Linked DNA regions of Mus musculus. The protein of the gene in region 2 purifies or fractionates together with the protein of the main gene of each other region. This does not show direct contact. Links are inferred from orthologs where the notes say so. Each region holds a gene or a part of one and is shown on either strand. Other genes may lie near its edges.

The links.
Region 1: the proteins of Sox9 (region 2) and Fbxw7 purify together in Homo sapiens (affinity purification with western blotting; 4 studies listed by BioGRID and IntAct, with this or other methods). This does not show direct contact. The link is inferred for Mus musculus from reciprocal best matches to the Homo sapiens genes SOX9 and FBXW7.

The regions. Positions count from the first base shown.
Region 1 is NC_000069.6:84,976,077-84,979,576, forward strand, and holds the end of Fbxw7 (F-box/WD repeat-containing protein 7), read left to right. Parts: intron 1-97; coding exon 98-308; intron 309-1,196; coding exon 1,197-1,465; 3' UTR 1,466-3,122; downstream 3,123-3,500. UniProt on the Homo sapiens protein: Substrate recognition component of a SCF (SKP1-CUL1-F-box protein) E3 ubiquitin-protein ligase complex which mediates the ubiquitination and subsequent proteasomal degradation of target proteins.
Region 2 is NC_000077.6:112,780,812-112,785,074, forward strand, and holds the start of Sox9 (transcription factor SOX-9), read left to right. Parts: upstream 1-1,398; 5' UTR 1,399-1,773; coding exon 1,774-2,204; intron 2,205-2,997; coding exon 2,998-3,251; intron 3,252-3,860; coding exon 3,861-4,263. UniProt on the Homo sapiens protein: Transcription factor that plays a key role in chondrocytes differentiation and skeletal development.

The sequences.
Region 1 (3,500 bases), on a different chromosome or scaffold from region 2:
TACGTGTTGCTTGTACCCTCTCCCTATTGTGAGTAATGTCAACAGCTGATAGGACAGGAATCCGTGTTTCTGTTCTAATACTCTGTGTCTGTTGTAGTTTGATGGCATCCATGTGGTGAGTGGATCTCTTGATACATCAATCCGAGTCTGGGATGTGGAGACAGGGAATTGTATTCACACGCTAACAGGACACCAGTCATTAACGAGTGGAATGGAACTCAAAGACAATATTCTTGTCTCTGGGAATGCAGATTCTACAGTTAAGATCTGGGATATCAAAACAGGACAGTGTTTACAAACTTTGCAAGGTAAGTCCTGGCCCTCTGTTAGCCTATCTTTAAAAACATCATTGCTATTCAAGAGAGAACCTGTGGAGAACAGAGGTTTAACCTTATGCAGAGTACTTACTCCTGATGAGTTTGTGAATGTTTGGCTTTCAAAAGTAAGCCACCTTGAGAAATGGTTTTCAATTGTGTCTTTAATGTGAAAATTCTTAATCATTTCCTGTGTGTTCTGTTGACTCTGTTTAACATGGCTGTCTCATAGGGCAGCGTTCTTTTTGAGTGATCATTTTATTTTGAATTGAAGCATCTCTGATAGGAAATGACTTTGGCCTTGCTTGGTCAATTCCTTCAGTCGGAATGGAAGGAGTAATGGTGCTCTCTGAGGGGAAGGTAGAGTGAGAAGCATTAGCATTAGGTATAGCACCATTGGCTTCTCCATGAGTAACTTCCTTCTCTTAGTCACAGCCCTTAGAAGGTGTTGTTGTTGTTTGTTTGTTTGTTTGTTTGGAGTGAAGCCATCAGGAGGCAGCACATAGCAGCCTTTGTTCATTAATTGTGACTGTTCCTAGGAGTTTGGGGTAGTCACAAATTCTATTTCCTTCTTTGACTGATCAGTTCAGTGTGGCAGAGTGACAGAGTGACAAACCTGCACGTTCCCTTTTCCAGCAGTGGAATGTGTACACTGGCTGACCAGGGCCACTGGGAGCCGGAGCTCTTGAGACTTGGTACTGTAGTTACATAGCCACCAGATTTCCTTACATCTAAGCTGGTCCTAAACTACAGCAAGGTTGCTAACTGTGCAGCTTTTTAAATACTGCATTTCTTGTATGCCATAATGTAGAAGAGCACAAGTCCCACGCAGAAGCCCTGAACGTCCTTCCTAAGCAGTAACCCGCATTTGCCTTTGCCTAGGTCCCAGCAAGCATCAGAGCGCTGTGACCTGCTTACAGTTCAACAAGAACTTCGTAATTACCAGCTCAGACGACGGAACGGTCAAACTCTGGGACTTGAAAACGGGTGAATTTATCCGAAACCTCGTCACATTGGAGAGTGGGGGGAGCGGGGGAGTTGTGTGGCGGATCAGGGCCTCAAACACAAAGCTGGTGTGTGCAGTCGGGAGTCGGAATGGAACTGAGGAAACCAAGCTCCTGGTGCTGGACTTTGATGTGGACATGAAATGAAAAGCAGACATGATGAATTTTGTCCAACTGTGTAGACAATATACTCCCTACCCTTCCCCCTGCGCAAAAAACAAAAACAAACAAACAAAAAAATGAAAAAAAAAAACAGAAAAAAAAAAAGAGAAAAAAGAAAAGGAAAAAAATCCCTTGTACTCAGTGGTGCAGGATGTTGGCTTGGGACAACAGACTGAAAAGACCTACAGACTAAGAAGGCAAGAAGAGACAAGAGACCGTAACTGACAGGAGGCGGCAGCTGTCGCATCTCGCAAAGGCCTCACTTGTGACTGAGGGGCAGCTTGGCAAGACGACTCTCTAAATCCAACCAGGTGCAATTATTCTTTGTTTTCTTCTCCAGTGGTCATTGAGCAGAGCTACATCAGCGTTGTTACCGTCACCTAGAAAGGAGTGGCAGTAATATCCAAACACGGGCTGCTTATCTTCTAATCAGAGCATCTGCAACAAACCGTCATTTTTCTGAAGTGGAAAAGCTTAAAACAATTACTGTGAATTGTTTTTGTACAGTTATCATGAAGCTTTCTTTTTTCTCTTTTTCCTGTTTCTCTTCTTTTCTTTTTTCTTTTTTTTTTTTGCCAACCATTGCCAATGTCAATCAATCACAGTATTAGCCTCTGTTAATCTATCTCTTTACTGTTGCTTCTACTCTTCAATGCATATGTTGCTCAAAGGTGGCAAGTTGTCCTGGGTTGTGTGAGTCCTGAGATGGATATAATTCTTGATGCTGGTGCTAGAAGTAGGTCTTCAAATCCGGGGTCGTTGTCCCACCCCTGTACTGTACTCCCAGTGGCCAAACTTATTTATGCTGCTAAATGAAAGAAAGAAAAAGCAAATTATTTTTTTTTTATTTTTTTTCTGCTGTGACGTTTTAGTCCCAGACTGAATTCCAAATTTGCTCTAGTTTGGTTACAGAAAAAAAAGACTTTTTTGCCACTGAAACTTGAGCCATCTGTGCCTCTAAGAGGCTGAGAATGGAAAAGTTTCAGATAATAAAGAGTGAAGTTTGCCTGCAAATAAAGAATTGAGAGTGTGTGCAAAGCTTATTTTCTTTTATCTGGGCAAAAATTAAAACACATTCCTTGGGACAGAGCCTGAGGTGCCTGTTCTGTGGAGAAACTTCTTTTTGAGGGCTGTGGTGAATGGAAGAACATACATAGCAAAACTGACAAGATATTTTAAAGATATATAAAACACAAAGGAAAAGGAGGTTGCTGGTCAGTCGTAGCATCTTACAGTATTGGGGAAAACAACTGTTACAGTTTCATTGCTCTGAGTGACTGACGTGAGAGGAATTCGCTCTGCAGTGACGCTGTCTGTCACTCGCCTACCAGCTCGACGAGCAAGAGAGCGGGAGTCAGATGGTCCGCCTCATTCACCAGGAGCCGTAACTCAAGCTGAACTGTGAAAGTGGTTAACACTGTATCCTAGGCCGTCTTTTTTTTCCTCCTCCTGTTTATTTTTTGTTTGTTTTATTTATAGTCTGATTTAAAACAATCAGATTCAAGTTGGTTAATTTTAGTTATGTAACAACCTGACGTGATGGAGGAAACAACCTGTAAAGGGATTGTGTCTATGGTTTGATTCACTTAGAAATTTTATTTTCTTATAACTTAAGTGCAATAAAATGTGTTTTTTCATGTTATTGCGCCTGTTTCTTCCACTAGATAATACTGTTTCATTATAACTATATAGTATTTGTGTCAGATATTTTAAATAGTCAAGTTTTGGGTTTCTTACATCCCCTGCATTGTGACTTAGAAACCAGCACTTCCGAGCTCAGCCAAAGCTGAGGCACTGCAGATGGCACCCCGAGCTGTCAGGGAGGCCACTCTTCTGTTTGCATTGTGTGTATGAACATGAAAGCTCGTTTCTTCAGTCATAAAACTTGGAATTACAACTAGAAGCCTTGTAATAATGAGTTCACCTTCAAATCCCATATACCAAGTGTTCACCAAAGCACTCGCACCATTCTTCTCTCAGGCTGAGAGAAGTAGCCTCTGTCACCTTTGACTCAGATGGC
Region 2 (4,263 bases):
AAGAATCAGAAAGGGGATGTTTAAATGAAATTGTTTATCTTTTTTTTTTTTTTACACCGTTGTGAGTTTGTTTGTGGTTCCGAGGGCATGTCGCCCGGTGGCAACTAAGATTTTTATTCGTTCCAGAAAAGATAATTCCTCCCTTAGCCAACCTTGCTCTAAGAGTTTGAGTAAACACGCAGCTTCGGCTCCAAGCACTCTTAAAGTGCAACGGACACCTAAGTGGCCTCCCCCAGAACGCCCACCTGTGTGCAGGTCTAAGAGGACGCAACTAAAGTCCAGACGCCTAGAGCTTCGCCCTCTTAGGTATCTGGTAAAAGGAAGGCCCAAGCAAGGGAGCCACAGGGCTCCGCCAAAGTGGCCCGTTTTGTCTGGAGTCTCCAGTCCAAGTCAAGGGCCTTCTCGGCCTCACCGCCCGGCCCTGCCACCTTTGCAAACTTCGCCCTCAACCCCGGAGTAGTTTTGCAAACTCCAGTGGCGAGCCTGACGGTGTTTGTGACTCAGTCAGGAGGCAAGAAGCAGAACTCTAAAGTAATAATCCTGACTACGAGGGGCGTCAGAGTACTGGAGGGGCCGGGAAAGGACTTGTCAGTTCAAGGTCGGCGTGGCCCACGGGACCGGCCGCAAGAGCCGGGGACTGCGCGGTCCCTGCCGCCAGCCTTTGCCTGGTGCTCGGCTTTGGTTTTCATTGATTCCCCACTGCGGGAGCGCAGCAGAAGCTCCAGTCACCACACCAGCTTCGTTGAACCAGAGCGCGTTAATCTATTTATATGGATTATTACAGAGAACAGCGGGCGTTGAGTCACCCAAACATTTGCTTCCAAAAGACCATTTCTAAGCACTTTTTTTGGAAGCCGGCAGACTCCAGGCGCAGAAGCCCAGCTCCGCTTTGACGAGCAGCTGTTGCAATTTCCATTGCTGTAAACGCCAGCGAAGTCCCGGGTACCACGGAGACAGCATCGAAAAGTGGGGGTGGGGGGTTGTGGAGGGTCCTAGTCTAGACACGCTCGCGTGCACGCGCACACACACACACACACACACACATACACACACACACACACACACACACACACACACACACATCGGTTCACACGGAGACCGTTCCAAAACTGTGACATTCCGAGAGTAGAGAGCAAACTTACACACTCGGACGTCCCGGGTCCCCCGCTTGCCCCGCGCCCCCCTCCAAGTCCCCTCACCCCACCATCCACCCTCTGGCTGAGCTCCCCTCCCTTCTCCTCCCCTCCTGTCTCGTCACCCAACCCGGAGCCACAATCCTCCCCAGCCCCCCTTCCAAAATCCGGTCCAATCAGCGACTTGCCAACACTGATGACTCAAGAGCTAGCCGTGATTGGCCCGAGGTATCTAACGTGAAGGAGGAGTATTTATTAGAGACCCTGAGCTGGAAGTCGGAGAGCCGAGAGCGCTGCTCGGAACTGCCTGGAAACTTCTGTGGGAGCGACAACTTTACCAGTTTCAGTCCAGGAACTTTTCTTTGCAAGAGAGACGAGGTGCAAGTGGCCCCGGTTTCGTTCTCTGTTTTCCCTCCCTCCTCCTCCGCTCCGACTCGCCTTCCCCGGGTTTAGAGCCGGCAGCTGAGACCCGCCACCCAGCGCCTCTGCTAAGTGCCCGCCGCCGCAGCCCGGTGACGCGCCAACCTCCCCGGGAGCCGTTCGCTCGGCGTCCGCGTCCGGGCAGCTGAGGGAAGAGGAGCCCCAGCCGCCGCGGCTTCTCGCCTTTCCCGGCCACCCGCCCCCTGCCCCGGGCTCGCGTATGAATCTCCTGGACCCCTTCATGAAGATGACCGACGAGCAGGAGAAGGGCCTGTCTGGCGCCCCCAGCCCCACCATGTCGGAGGACTCGGCTGGTTCGCCCTGTCCCTCGGGCTCCGGCTCGGACACGGAGAACACCCGGCCCCAGGAGAACACCTTCCCCAAGGGCGAGCCGGATCTGAAGAAGGAGAGCGAGGAAGATAAGTTCCCCGTGTGCATCCGCGAGGCGGTCAGCCAGGTGCTGAAGGGCTACGACTGGACGCTGGTGCCCATGCCCGTGCGCGTCAACGGCTCCAGCAAGAACAAGCCACACGTCAAGCGACCCATGAACGCCTTCATGGTGTGGGCGCAGGCTGCGCGCAGGAAGCTGGCAGACCAGTACCCGCATCTGCACAACGCGGAGCTCAGCAAGACTCTGGGCAAGCTCTGGAGGTGAGCGCGCGGGCCGCCAGGGAGGGCTCGGTGGCTAGGGGGGACGCGGGCTGCACTCACCGACCCCGCCCCGCCTCCCTGAGCCGCGGAGTTGTGCATCCTGGGGTCTTTGGTCCAGGATGCAGGGCGGCCGGGGGCGGGGGGAGGGAGTGGCTCAGATTTTGAGAAAGTTCTTGGGATTGCTCTTGGTTATGGCGGGGGGGGGGGGAATGGGGGCGTGAATATGACTGCTTTTAGGAAGGTAGAAAGGAGTGAGGGGGTGTGCCAGCCTGGTCCCTCTGGAAAGGAACAATTAGAGGAAGCAAGCCCACCTTCCTTAGGCCAACTGCGCTCATTCCTGGGGAGATGGAGTGAAGGGAAAGTGTAACTGAGACTAGAGGAGACCCAGGCAAGAATTGGGCAAAGCTACTGAGAACCGGCAGGGGCATGGATCAACAGAGCGAGCTTCTTGCAATTTAAATGGGTTTTCGGAAAGTTTTTACTGCGTGTTGGGAGGGGTGGACCGCTCCGGTAGCAAAGGCGTTTAGAGCAGCCTCAGCAGGGAGCTATTTCCATCTTCAGGGTTTCCAAAATAGGAGGCCAGGGGAGGGGGCGGGGCGAAGAGTGACCGCTCAGGTCGACTCTGAGCACTTTTTTAAAAAGAAAAAGAAAGGAAAAAAAAAGTTCTGAGTCTCAGAGAGGGATGGAAAGCAGACTGGAGGGAGGGGGTAGTGCGCGAAGGAGGGGTGGGGACCTGACAGCTCCCGGGGTTTCATTGACCCCCTCCCTCTTTTCTTCTGCCCCCCCCCCCCAGGCTGCTGAACGAGAGCGAGAAGAGACCCTTCGTGGAGGAGGCGGAGCGGCTGCGCGTGCAGCACAAGAAAGACCACCCCGATTACAAGTACCAGCCCCGGCGGAGGAAGTCGGTGAAGAACGGACAAGCGGAGGCCGAAGAGGCCACGGAACAGACTCACATCTCTCCTAATGCTATCTTCAAGGCGCTGCAAGCCGACTCCCCACATTCCTCCTCCGGCATGAGTGAGGTGCACTCCCCGGGCGAGCACTCTGGTGAGCAAGGCGCGAGTGGTCCCCTAGGGGGTCCTCCTGGCACACTCTTAAGGTGCCCCCCTCCCCAGAAGTATCTGACTTTGCATTCCCTGAAGTAAGGAAACACTATTCTCTGCATCCCCCTCCCAGTTCAGGGCGCTCAAAAACAGCCAAGTTGGCGCGCGGGCGCGGGTGAACACAGGCACACACACACACACATACACACACACACACACACACACACACACACACACACACACATCTCAAACCTTGAATCCTGAGCTGGATTCTTTATTGCAAGGTAACATGTCTTAATTGCTTTACGAAACTTACCCACTTTTCTCTTTGCGCCTCACCCCAAAAGCACACATTCTTCTACAGGTAGCAATTTAGTCTTCCGGACCCTTGGGACCTCAGACCCCTCCCCTGATAAAAGGAGCTTGCCTAGTGTGTACCTGCGGGTTAATCATTCGGCGACTTATCGCTGGTGCAGCGCGCCTCCAGCGCGGGAGCGGGTCCTAATGACACCTTGGCAACCAGGGAGAGTCCCCAGGGGGCTCCTAAGAGTAGGGGCTTTGCAAAGCGCTTGTTGATTTTTTACCGTTTGTCTTTCTCTTTTATGGCCTGCAGGGCAATCTCAGGGTCCGCCGACCCCACCCACCACTCCCAAAACCGACGTGCAAGCTGGCAAAGTTGATCTGAAGCGAGAGGGGCGCCCTCTGGCAGAGGGGGGCAGACAGCCCCCCATCGACTTCCGCGACGTGGACATCGGTGAACTGAGCAGCGACGTCATCTCCAACATTGAGACCTTCGACGTCAATGAGTTTGACCAATACTTGCCACCCAACGGCCACCCAGGGGTTCCGGCCACCCACGGCCAGGTCACCTACACTGGCAGTTACGGCATCAGCAGCACCGCACCCACCCCTGCGACCGCGGGCCACGTGTGGATGTCGAAGCAGCAGGCGCCGCCCCCTCCTCCGCAGCAGCCTCCGCAGGCCCCGCAAGCCCCACAGGCGCCTCCGCAGCAGCA